Saccharomyces cerevisiae S288C: one gene and its partner. The protein of the gene in region 2 binds, or shares a complex with, the protein of the main gene of each other region. Each region holds a gene or a part of one and is shown on either strand. Other genes may lie near its edges. The genes, in order: CEG1 and CET1. A codon is read from its position in the direction of its gene.

Evidence for each region.
Region 1: the proteins of CET1 (region 2) and CEG1 are in contact, whole or in part, in a crystal structure (PDB 3KYH), measured with the Saccharomyces cerevisiae proteins. Residues at the interface, in NP_015096.1 of Saccharomyces cerevisiae: Ile246 (codon at 1,568), Trp247 (codon at 1,565), Ala248 (codon at 1,562), Gln249 (codon at 1,559), Lys250 (codon at 1,556), Trp251 (codon at 1,553), Lys252 (codon at 1,550), Pro253 (codon at 1,547), Thr254 (codon at 1,544), Lys256 (codon at 1,538), Ala257 (codon at 1,535), Ser260 (codon at 1,526), Ile261 (codon at 1,523); in NP_011385.3 of Saccharomyces cerevisiae: Leu262 (codon at 1,225), Trp295 (codon at 1,126), Val301 (codon at 1,108), Arg304 (codon at 1,099), His307 (codon at 1,090), Phe308 (codon at 1,087), Gln310 (codon at 1,081), Pro311 (codon at 1,078), Phe312 (codon at 1,075), Asp313 (codon at 1,072), Glu316 (codon at 1,063), Trp337 (codon at 1,000), Leu340 (codon at 991), Lys341 (codon at 988), Glu344 (codon at 979), Gln345 (codon at 976), Pro346 (codon at 973), Leu347 (codon at 970), Asn348 (codon at 967), Gly349 (codon at 964), Arg350 (codon at 961), Asp370 (codon at 901), Asp371 (codon at 898), Lys372 (codon at 895), Leu373 (codon at 892), Asn374 (codon at 889).

Annotation. Positions count from the first base shown.
Region 1 is NC_001139.9:263,950-268,152, reverse strand, and holds CEG1 (mRNA guanylyltransferase), read right to left. Parts: upstream 2,009-4,203; coding exon 629-2,008; downstream 1-628. Other genes in the region: mitochondrial 37S ribosomal protein mS29 RSM23, read left to right, coding at 1-430; DNA-binding E3 ubiquitin-protein ligase SNT2, read left to right, coding at 2,294-4,203. UniProt on the Saccharomyces cerevisiae protein: Second step of mRNA capping. Transfer of the GMP moiety of GTP to the 5'-diphosphate terminus of RNA via a covalent enzyme-GMP reaction intermediate.
Region 2 is NC_001148.4:116,695-120,684, reverse strand, and holds CET1 (polynucleotide 5'-phosphatase), read right to left. Parts: upstream 2,304-3,990; coding exon 654-2,303; downstream 1-653. Other genes in the region: ALG5 (dolichyl-phosphate beta-glucosyltransferase), read left to right, coding at 1-522; YPL229W (uncharacterized protein), read right to left, coding at 2,998-3,618. UniProt on the Saccharomyces cerevisiae protein: First step of mRNA capping. Converts the 5'-triphosphate end of a nascent mRNA chain into a diphosphate end.

The DNA of each region.
Region 1 (4,203 bases), on a different chromosome or scaffold from region 2:
AGAGAATAAACAAATATATTCCCTGGATTTACAAATGGGTAAATTGATGATGGACATTATTTCAGGAGAGACGAAATTTGCTAATGGTGAGAGTTCTACTATATTAGCTATATCCGGCGTTGACAGGACAAACAAAACTTTACCCGTGGCATTGGGCAAGATCCCAGTAGACCCCTATGTTACTAGATATCACTATGAACCGAAGTTCGTAGAATTGCTCCAAAAAGGTAATGTCACCGAATTCGAGGTTCCTAAACTGAACAAACAGGAAGTTAACGAACTAATCGATTACTACAAACAATCAAATGTTTTATTAGACAAGGATATCACAGGAAAAAAGTGGGAGAACTTGATTGACGAAAAATATTTCCTAAGTGGTAACGGTAACCCAAGAGAATTATTGAAAAGTTTAGTCCTTTCCCATAGGTGATAAGCATGCGCATATATATACATGTATATGCGTATATAACACTTTCACCCTCGCTTCTCAAAATTCTCCCATTTCTCATGTACATATAAATAGATAACTAACTGAATTAATTTAGCAAAAGCAATTGCTTTTGCTTTTCTATCTTATTCATACACAAAATTCTTACACCGATATATGTCGATACGAACACTTCTTAGCCTAATCCGACCAATCATCCTCGTCTACATATTTTGGCTCCTTATCATTACTTGGGGGCTGTGAATGGACTGGCTTAGAGGTAGATAATGTCGCATTTTGACTTTGAGACGGTAGTGGTCTCCCACTACCACCAGCCATATTTGCTCTTCTCTCGTCCCAGCACCTTTTAATATCACCAACAATTTCCTCGAGGTCCTCCAATGAAACTGAATCGTTGATACTCTCCAAAACTTTCTGGACCACCGATGTATGATTACCATTTAACTTATCATCCCTGAATCTTAACATTTCCCACGCCCCAGTCTCTTGGTTTTTTGCGCACTCTACTATTCTACCATTTAATGGCTGTTCTAGGTTCTTCAAATTTTGCCATTCCTCATCTGAAACGCTCAACTCTGCAAATTTTCTGTATGTTCTTTCTAATATTTCAAATTCCTTCCTATCGAAAGGCTGGTCGAAATGTTTTAAACGTGAATTGACATCAGCTCCGCCTTGCCAGACATATAAGCTGAAAACTGGCTTAACGTCATAATTGTAATACCACCTGTTCCGATCATCTTTAGGCAAAGAAGGATCCTCCACCATTGGGATATCTAAAATCAATTTGAAGTCCACGGTGTTTTCTTGTTCTGGCTTCCATTTTAATAACAATGAATCTTTTCCGCCGGCAGTGTAAGGTGCCTTCACAGGAGTAAATATCAGACCATCAGAAAGATGTGGTAGTTTATCTAAACTTTTAGCAACTTTTACTAATTGGTAACTGAAATCCATATGTTTCATGGAAATTTTGAACGGAAAAGTAGTACAACGATTAGGGTACGCTGCTCTTAAATCGAAGTATGGTTTAAAAAATTCTTTTCCAAGGTGGGCTAGTCTAGAACTTGTTGGTGATTGTGTGAGACATCTACCATTGATAGCAAGACAATCGAACATTAAATAACGCAACTCTTGTAATTTTGTCATTGGGTTAGTTTGTATGACAAGTTCACCATCTAATAAGGTGCCATCTTGAAGAGTCTCTAGCAGCTCTTCTTTCTTCTTTTGGGGTAATCTGGGAAACCTAAATCCATTAACCAGATAATAGTTATTTTCCCTATCAATCATAAAGCATCCTTGCTCACCCGTCACAGGATTTATCACTATAAACATCAACACCCGCAGACCATCTGTTTTCTCACAAACGTAGTAATCATGCGCAAGCAGCTTCTCTTCCACATCAGAATGCTGAAAGGACACAGGCTGGGAACCAGGGAATGTTTTCGTAGGTTTTGGGGAATTCAATAATTTACAGACCATCATCTTCAAGTCTTGCGTGACATTCCCAGGTTGAATGAGCCCAGGAATTTCCGGTGCCACTCTACTTTCCATTGCTAAAACCATATTTGTTAAATTAGCGGTCGATTCGTATTTGCTTATTCCGTTAGTTAGCTTTAGTTTAGATATAACAGATCGTATTCCACCATTTCTTTCGTTATTTTCTGCAATGAACTATTTATTATACTAGGTTACGCTTCGGAGCGACTGACCCGAACATCATGGAGAACTATATATATTTTATGATATTGCTTTCAAAAGGACTAAAAATAAAATGCCATCGAACTATCTGGTGGCAAAATTGGCCTATCGGGACATATTGAGATCATCTGCCTTTCAGCTGGTCACGCTATGCCTAAAGAAGAAGATTTCCAATTACCTAGAAGAAGAGAGGCTGCTAAAAACGTGAATTATAATGAAATGGAAATAGATACTAAATTAGTTCAACAAATACAAATAGCGGAAAAAAGTGGTGCTAAGACCAAGGGTAGCAATAGCCAAACTCCCAGGAATTGTAAAAGGACAAGCAATCCAGCTAGTAGAAACGAGAAATTCAAGTACCAAAAATTCCTTCATGATAAGAATACTTGCTGGAACTTTATCCCTACATTACCCCCTTCGTTCAGAAAGAATAGCAGATTCTCTAACATACTTGATCTAGATGATGCCATGATTGACTTGAAAAAGATGTCTCTTTTCAATACAGAATCTGTCCTTTTATCTGCGAACGACACTATTTATATGATATCAGAGCCTGCTGGCGAGCCTTATTATGTTGGCAGAGTTGTAAATTTTGTTAGTAAACCAGAATTTTCTAACACTATTCATGAAGCTATAAAGACAACATCGGTCTTCCCTGCTAAATTTTTTCAAGTTAGAATGAATTGGTTTTATCGTCCTAGGGATATTCAAGAGCACGTAAATACTTTTAACCCAAGGTTGGTGTATGCATCATTACACCAGGACATATGTCCTATTTCATCATACAGGGGAAAATGTAGTATATTTCATAAAGACGAAGTTTTTGATGTTCTTCCTAATGAGAAGGAATGCATTATACGACCCAATATCTTTTACTTTGATGAACTTTTTGACAGATATACTTTGAAATATTACAAAGTTTACAGCACGGATAAAATATTAAATAAATGGAACAGTAAGTCGCCATTTCTTTATGTTTTGAATAGGAGATTTCGTTATATCTATACAGAACCGAAGTATCCATTGGAGAACGTTTTGAAGAAATACGTTTTCCATGAACTAGAGGTAAACGAATTAAGTCCTGCAGACTACCAATGGGATAAAAGATGTCAGTTCTGTAAAGAATGGTGTATCCAAAAGGAGAGCCTTTCATGTGATGAATGCGGCGTTTGTGCACATCTATACTGTATGGATCCGCCACTTGACAGGAAGCCGAACAAAGACGTCGTTTGGACCTGCTTCAGTTGCTTACAGAAACAACAAGGTACTAAGGACTCGCATGTTAGGTTTCTAGAAGAACAAGCACTGGAACTGGATTTTATTCGCTCTGTAAGACAAAAAATTGAAGAAATTTCTAGCAAAGCTATCAAAGAGAATGTTGGTTATAATACCGAAAATTGCTGGTTTCAATACTTAGGAATATATTCCATTTCTCATATTGGTGACGCATTAAATGATTCTATGTTTTTTCCATATCCTTTCAAACCCTCTAGGGTAGGAGTGAAGTATCAATGGAACGGATGTAATCATAATGTGCCCTGGAGGCGGAACTCGTATATAAGTGCAAATTCAGAAGAAGAGCGAGGCTCAACGAAAACTTCGGAACTAGCATGGGTACTTGATGCATCAAAAATTACTACTCGAAAATTGAGTGAATATATTGAACAATGCAAAAGCGAAATATGCCCTATTCTCAATGTGAGAGGTGAGACTTGTAATTTCATTGATGTAGTCCTAAAGAATTTATTATTTACAAATTATGATACAGCAGAGGCATTTAAAAAATGTAAAAGGGAGCTTTCCAGAAAATTTTTGAAAGAGCCAAGTTTTACCGCCGTGGAGATCCGAAAGTTTGAGGAAGCTGTCGAGAAATTTGGGAGTGAATTACGCCCAGTGTGTGAGTATGTGGGCACTCAACCTATGTCGATGATTGTTAGATTTTATTACAATTGGAAAAAGACTGAAAGAGGCCTTACCGTGAGAGGGAAATTGAGTAAGTTATCAAAGAATAAAAGAAAAAAAGAAATCGCTAATCATGAAAATGACGTAGAGACAAAGTA
Region 2 (3,990 bases):
AGAGGTAAGTATGGTCTTTTTGCCGATGCTGATGGTGCTAGTAAGTTCAGTGATGTAGAAAAACTAATAGATGCTATTAGCAAAATTGAAACGTCTAGTACAGATCTAAAAACGACTAAACCAGCAGTAGCAATTGGTTCCAGAGCACATATGGTAAATACCGAAGCCGTCATAAAGAGATCAATGATAAGAAACTGCTTGATGTACGGTTTCCATACCTTAGTTTTCATCTTCGGCATCAGGTCTATCAAAGACACACAATGTGGATTCAAATTGTTCAACAGAGCCGCTATATTGAAAATTTTTCCGTATTTGCATACAGAGGGTTGGATCTTTGACGTTGAAATTTTGATCTTAGCCATCAGAAAAAGAATCCAAATTGAGGAGATACCAATTTCCTGGCATGAGGTTGATGGCTCTAAGATGGCTTTAGCTATTGATAGTATCAAAATGGCGAAAGACTTGGTTATTATAAGAATGGCCTATTTATTAGGGATATATAGAGATAATAAGAAATGTTAGAGTAATTATTTTTATGTTATTATTATCATTATTATTATTATTACATAAGCTTTCATAACAGCATTTGAGTAAACAAAAAAAATTTCTCGCTCAAGGGCATTTGCTTATTTTTTTTTGAAATGATTCAAATATTACATGACTTTCTTTGAACCTTCAAAAATTTCATATGATAAAGACGATAACTTTCTTCTAATAATTGTACCATTATTCAGAAACGTTCTAATAAGAGATGCATATTCTTTACTATCGTTCGTTATGTTATCAAAGGCGTTTAACAGTGCAGGCGTGTTGATTTCTAGTTCCACTTCGTGAGTGGTCTCTGATTGTCTACTTTTTGAATTTTGGTTATGATTTTCGACTTTTGTAATATCAATTCTGGTACAGGAATCATTATGAATGTAACTAACACGGTCTTTCGTCCTTTCACTAATTGGGCTTTGAGATTTATATTTTTCTGGCGGATCGTTGTCAGGTACAGGTAATTCCAAGTTTAGGGAGATTTTAACGTCGTAACTATCTTTTGGTGAATATAATAGTAGTTGGGCTACATGTCTTTTCTCTATAAATTGTCCTACCCTCCCAGTCTTAATATCTGTACTCATTCTCAAAAACCTTGGTCTTTGCGTGGATAGTCCGACTCTATAGACGGAATCTCTTGTCTGGGATTCAATAATACTGAATTTACCTGTATTTTCAGTGACTTCGCTAATACCACGAATATATTTGCTCAACTCTTTGAACAAAGATGCATCAATATTAGGCGTTAGATGGGCATCAAGCTCAGTGAAAACACATTGTGAAGAAACTGGTGGATTTACACGATCTGGGCCTTTCGCATCAATAATAACACCAAATTTCATTTCTAACTCAATGAAGGATCTTAGTTCAGGAGCAATTGAGTATATTGTAGCATAAACCCAGTCCTGTACTGACTTTGTTAAGTCATCATCGGGAATAATGTTTAAAAAAGATGGGTCAATTTTGAGATCTTTCACATTTATACTTTGAAGAGCTTTGATAGTAGGTTTCCATTTTTGTGCCCAAATTGGAACATTCCTGTACTTACTGGGCTTGGAAGACGCAGATATTTCATTCAGAACCTCCAAATCTCTCTTGATATTATTCTTTTTTGATTGTAAAGTAGCTTTCTCTTCAAAAATATTATCTACAGCTGCATTCGCTTCTTCTTCCTTCTTGACCACGCTTCCTACTGCATTTCCCGCTATCTTCTTCTCAGTTTGCTTCTGCTTTTGCAGAGGTACTTGGGTTATATAGTTGCTGGCAATGTTCCCTTCATTACCTTGTTTCGGTATTCTCTGTTCTTCATCACTCTTGCTATTCTGATGAATTGAATCATCAGAAGGCTTTTCTAACTTCGCATTGGCATCACTACCATCATTCATAGGAGGTGATCCGTTGGATAGTAAATTTCTATGTTGTTTATCATAGTCAAAGTCCATTTCTGAATCAAAATTAATTTCTCCACTTGCACCCATTTCGTCATCCGTATCGGTTTCTTCATCATCATTAGATGACTTGCGTGATTTAGGTTTTTGTGAGTGCGAGCCATGACCAGTACTCTCCTTGTAATTGTCAATCGGAGCAGCTTGGCCCGTTTCCGTTTGATTTATATCAGATTCTAAATTTTCGGCAAAAGGTCTGCTGCCATTAGCCGCCTCACTTAATTTTTGTAATTTAACCTTTTCATTTTCATCGTGATTCACCAGATCGTCTAACGATAAAGCTCTTTTTGTTTGAGGAGGGTTGTCAGTGTAACTCATAGTGGGAGGATAGAAATGCTACCAACAATTCAAGGTTTTTTAAAAAAAGAAGTGCTATTCCAGATTCAATTTATAAGGGATATTTTGGAAATATCAGTATAGTATTCCCAGCAGATCTTTCAGTGTCGAATACGCTTTTAATTATCACTCTTATTTGTGTGAACCTATATTATAGATTCATTAGAGGACTTTTCCTTTATTACCATAACTTACGACGAAACTAACTAAAATGTAGGTCTATATATCATTTGTAACGGCACGTTGGGTAATCATGACTGGTACATGTTATATGTTATCTACGCAGGTCCTGTTTCTGGCATTATGTATGGCTTGACTTTAGGAGTTCCAGTAAAACAAGGTTCAAGATTTATTATATCACCATACTTGTAGCCTCCAGGATTATTATGAAACAGAAAAATGGCATGTATTTTTGAAAGAATATGGTTATATGAGTATTTAGTGCTTAGTACATACGTCTTGCGTCTGTTTGCAGATAAAACCCTTCTCCTTTTATCTACATATACTAATTGAATAGTGAACTACATGAATAGAAGAAACCGATAATTAAAAATAAGTAGGAAATGAAACGGCTTGACATAATATAACATAACGTAACATAACATGGACACAAGATTTGTTCAAATGAGGAATATGCAAAAAAGAAATCAAAACAACGTGTTTGTCCATATCGCGATCATTCTTGAACACTTTCCAAAGGATTAAAACTTTGAGATGTATAAGGATTGAACTTCGGCCTAGAGTTGAATATAGAAGAAGCAGAATTTGGAGGTGAAGAAGACATAGAACCAGGATTAGAACTGGATTGCGTGTTCTGATGATACAATGACATTTGTTCAGCGGTCAGCCTATCCATTTTCTCGCATGCTTGTTGTTCTTCGAGAGAAAGTAAAGATCTTGGACAGAAAAATAAGTCATCTTTGAAAGATTTGCAGATGTTGTTCTTGTATATTATGGAGGAGTGGTCTATATCTGGGACAACATAATGCTGAGACGATCTGCTAAAGAGTAAAGGAGGGATAGTACTAGTGTTGGCATTCTTGTTAAGGTTTGAGTTTTCGCTGGTACCGGCCCCTACTAAAAACAAAGGCGGGCTTATTGGTTGTTGCTGTTGCGGCTGCTGTAACGATGACGCAGTGCGATTTTGTTGCTGCTGTTGCTGCTGCTGTTGCTGCTGCTGAAGACGATCATATTTGAAATTCTGGAAACTGAGCGCATCTGGAATAATACCAAAGGGGTTGCTGCTTGCGAAGTTCATAGGTTCTTGGATATTTGGAGGGGTGTTGTAGGGCATCATTTCATGTAATATAAAAAAGTGGTTATATGTGATAGTTTATCTGCTAAAATCGGAAAAAGCGTCATCTTGTCAGTGAAATGAGATAAAAAGCTTCTTTCTTTTCTTTTTCTTATTATTGCAATTAACGGGGGTCCGGGTGAGCGTAAGGGCGAGATAACCATGGCGGTATAGGTGTATATGATCAAGTTTTGAAGTCAAGATGCAGGATTGTTCGTTCCGTATTCACAATCCACCGTTAGTGTTACATCGTAGTTTTTGATGCTACTGTGGGCTGTGTAAAGCAGACGCGGGAGTTTAAAATTAAGTTTTGCGGTTATTTCTCGTTGATCAACGCAAGAGGTCAGAAAGCCCTTTATGCAAGGGATTTTTTCT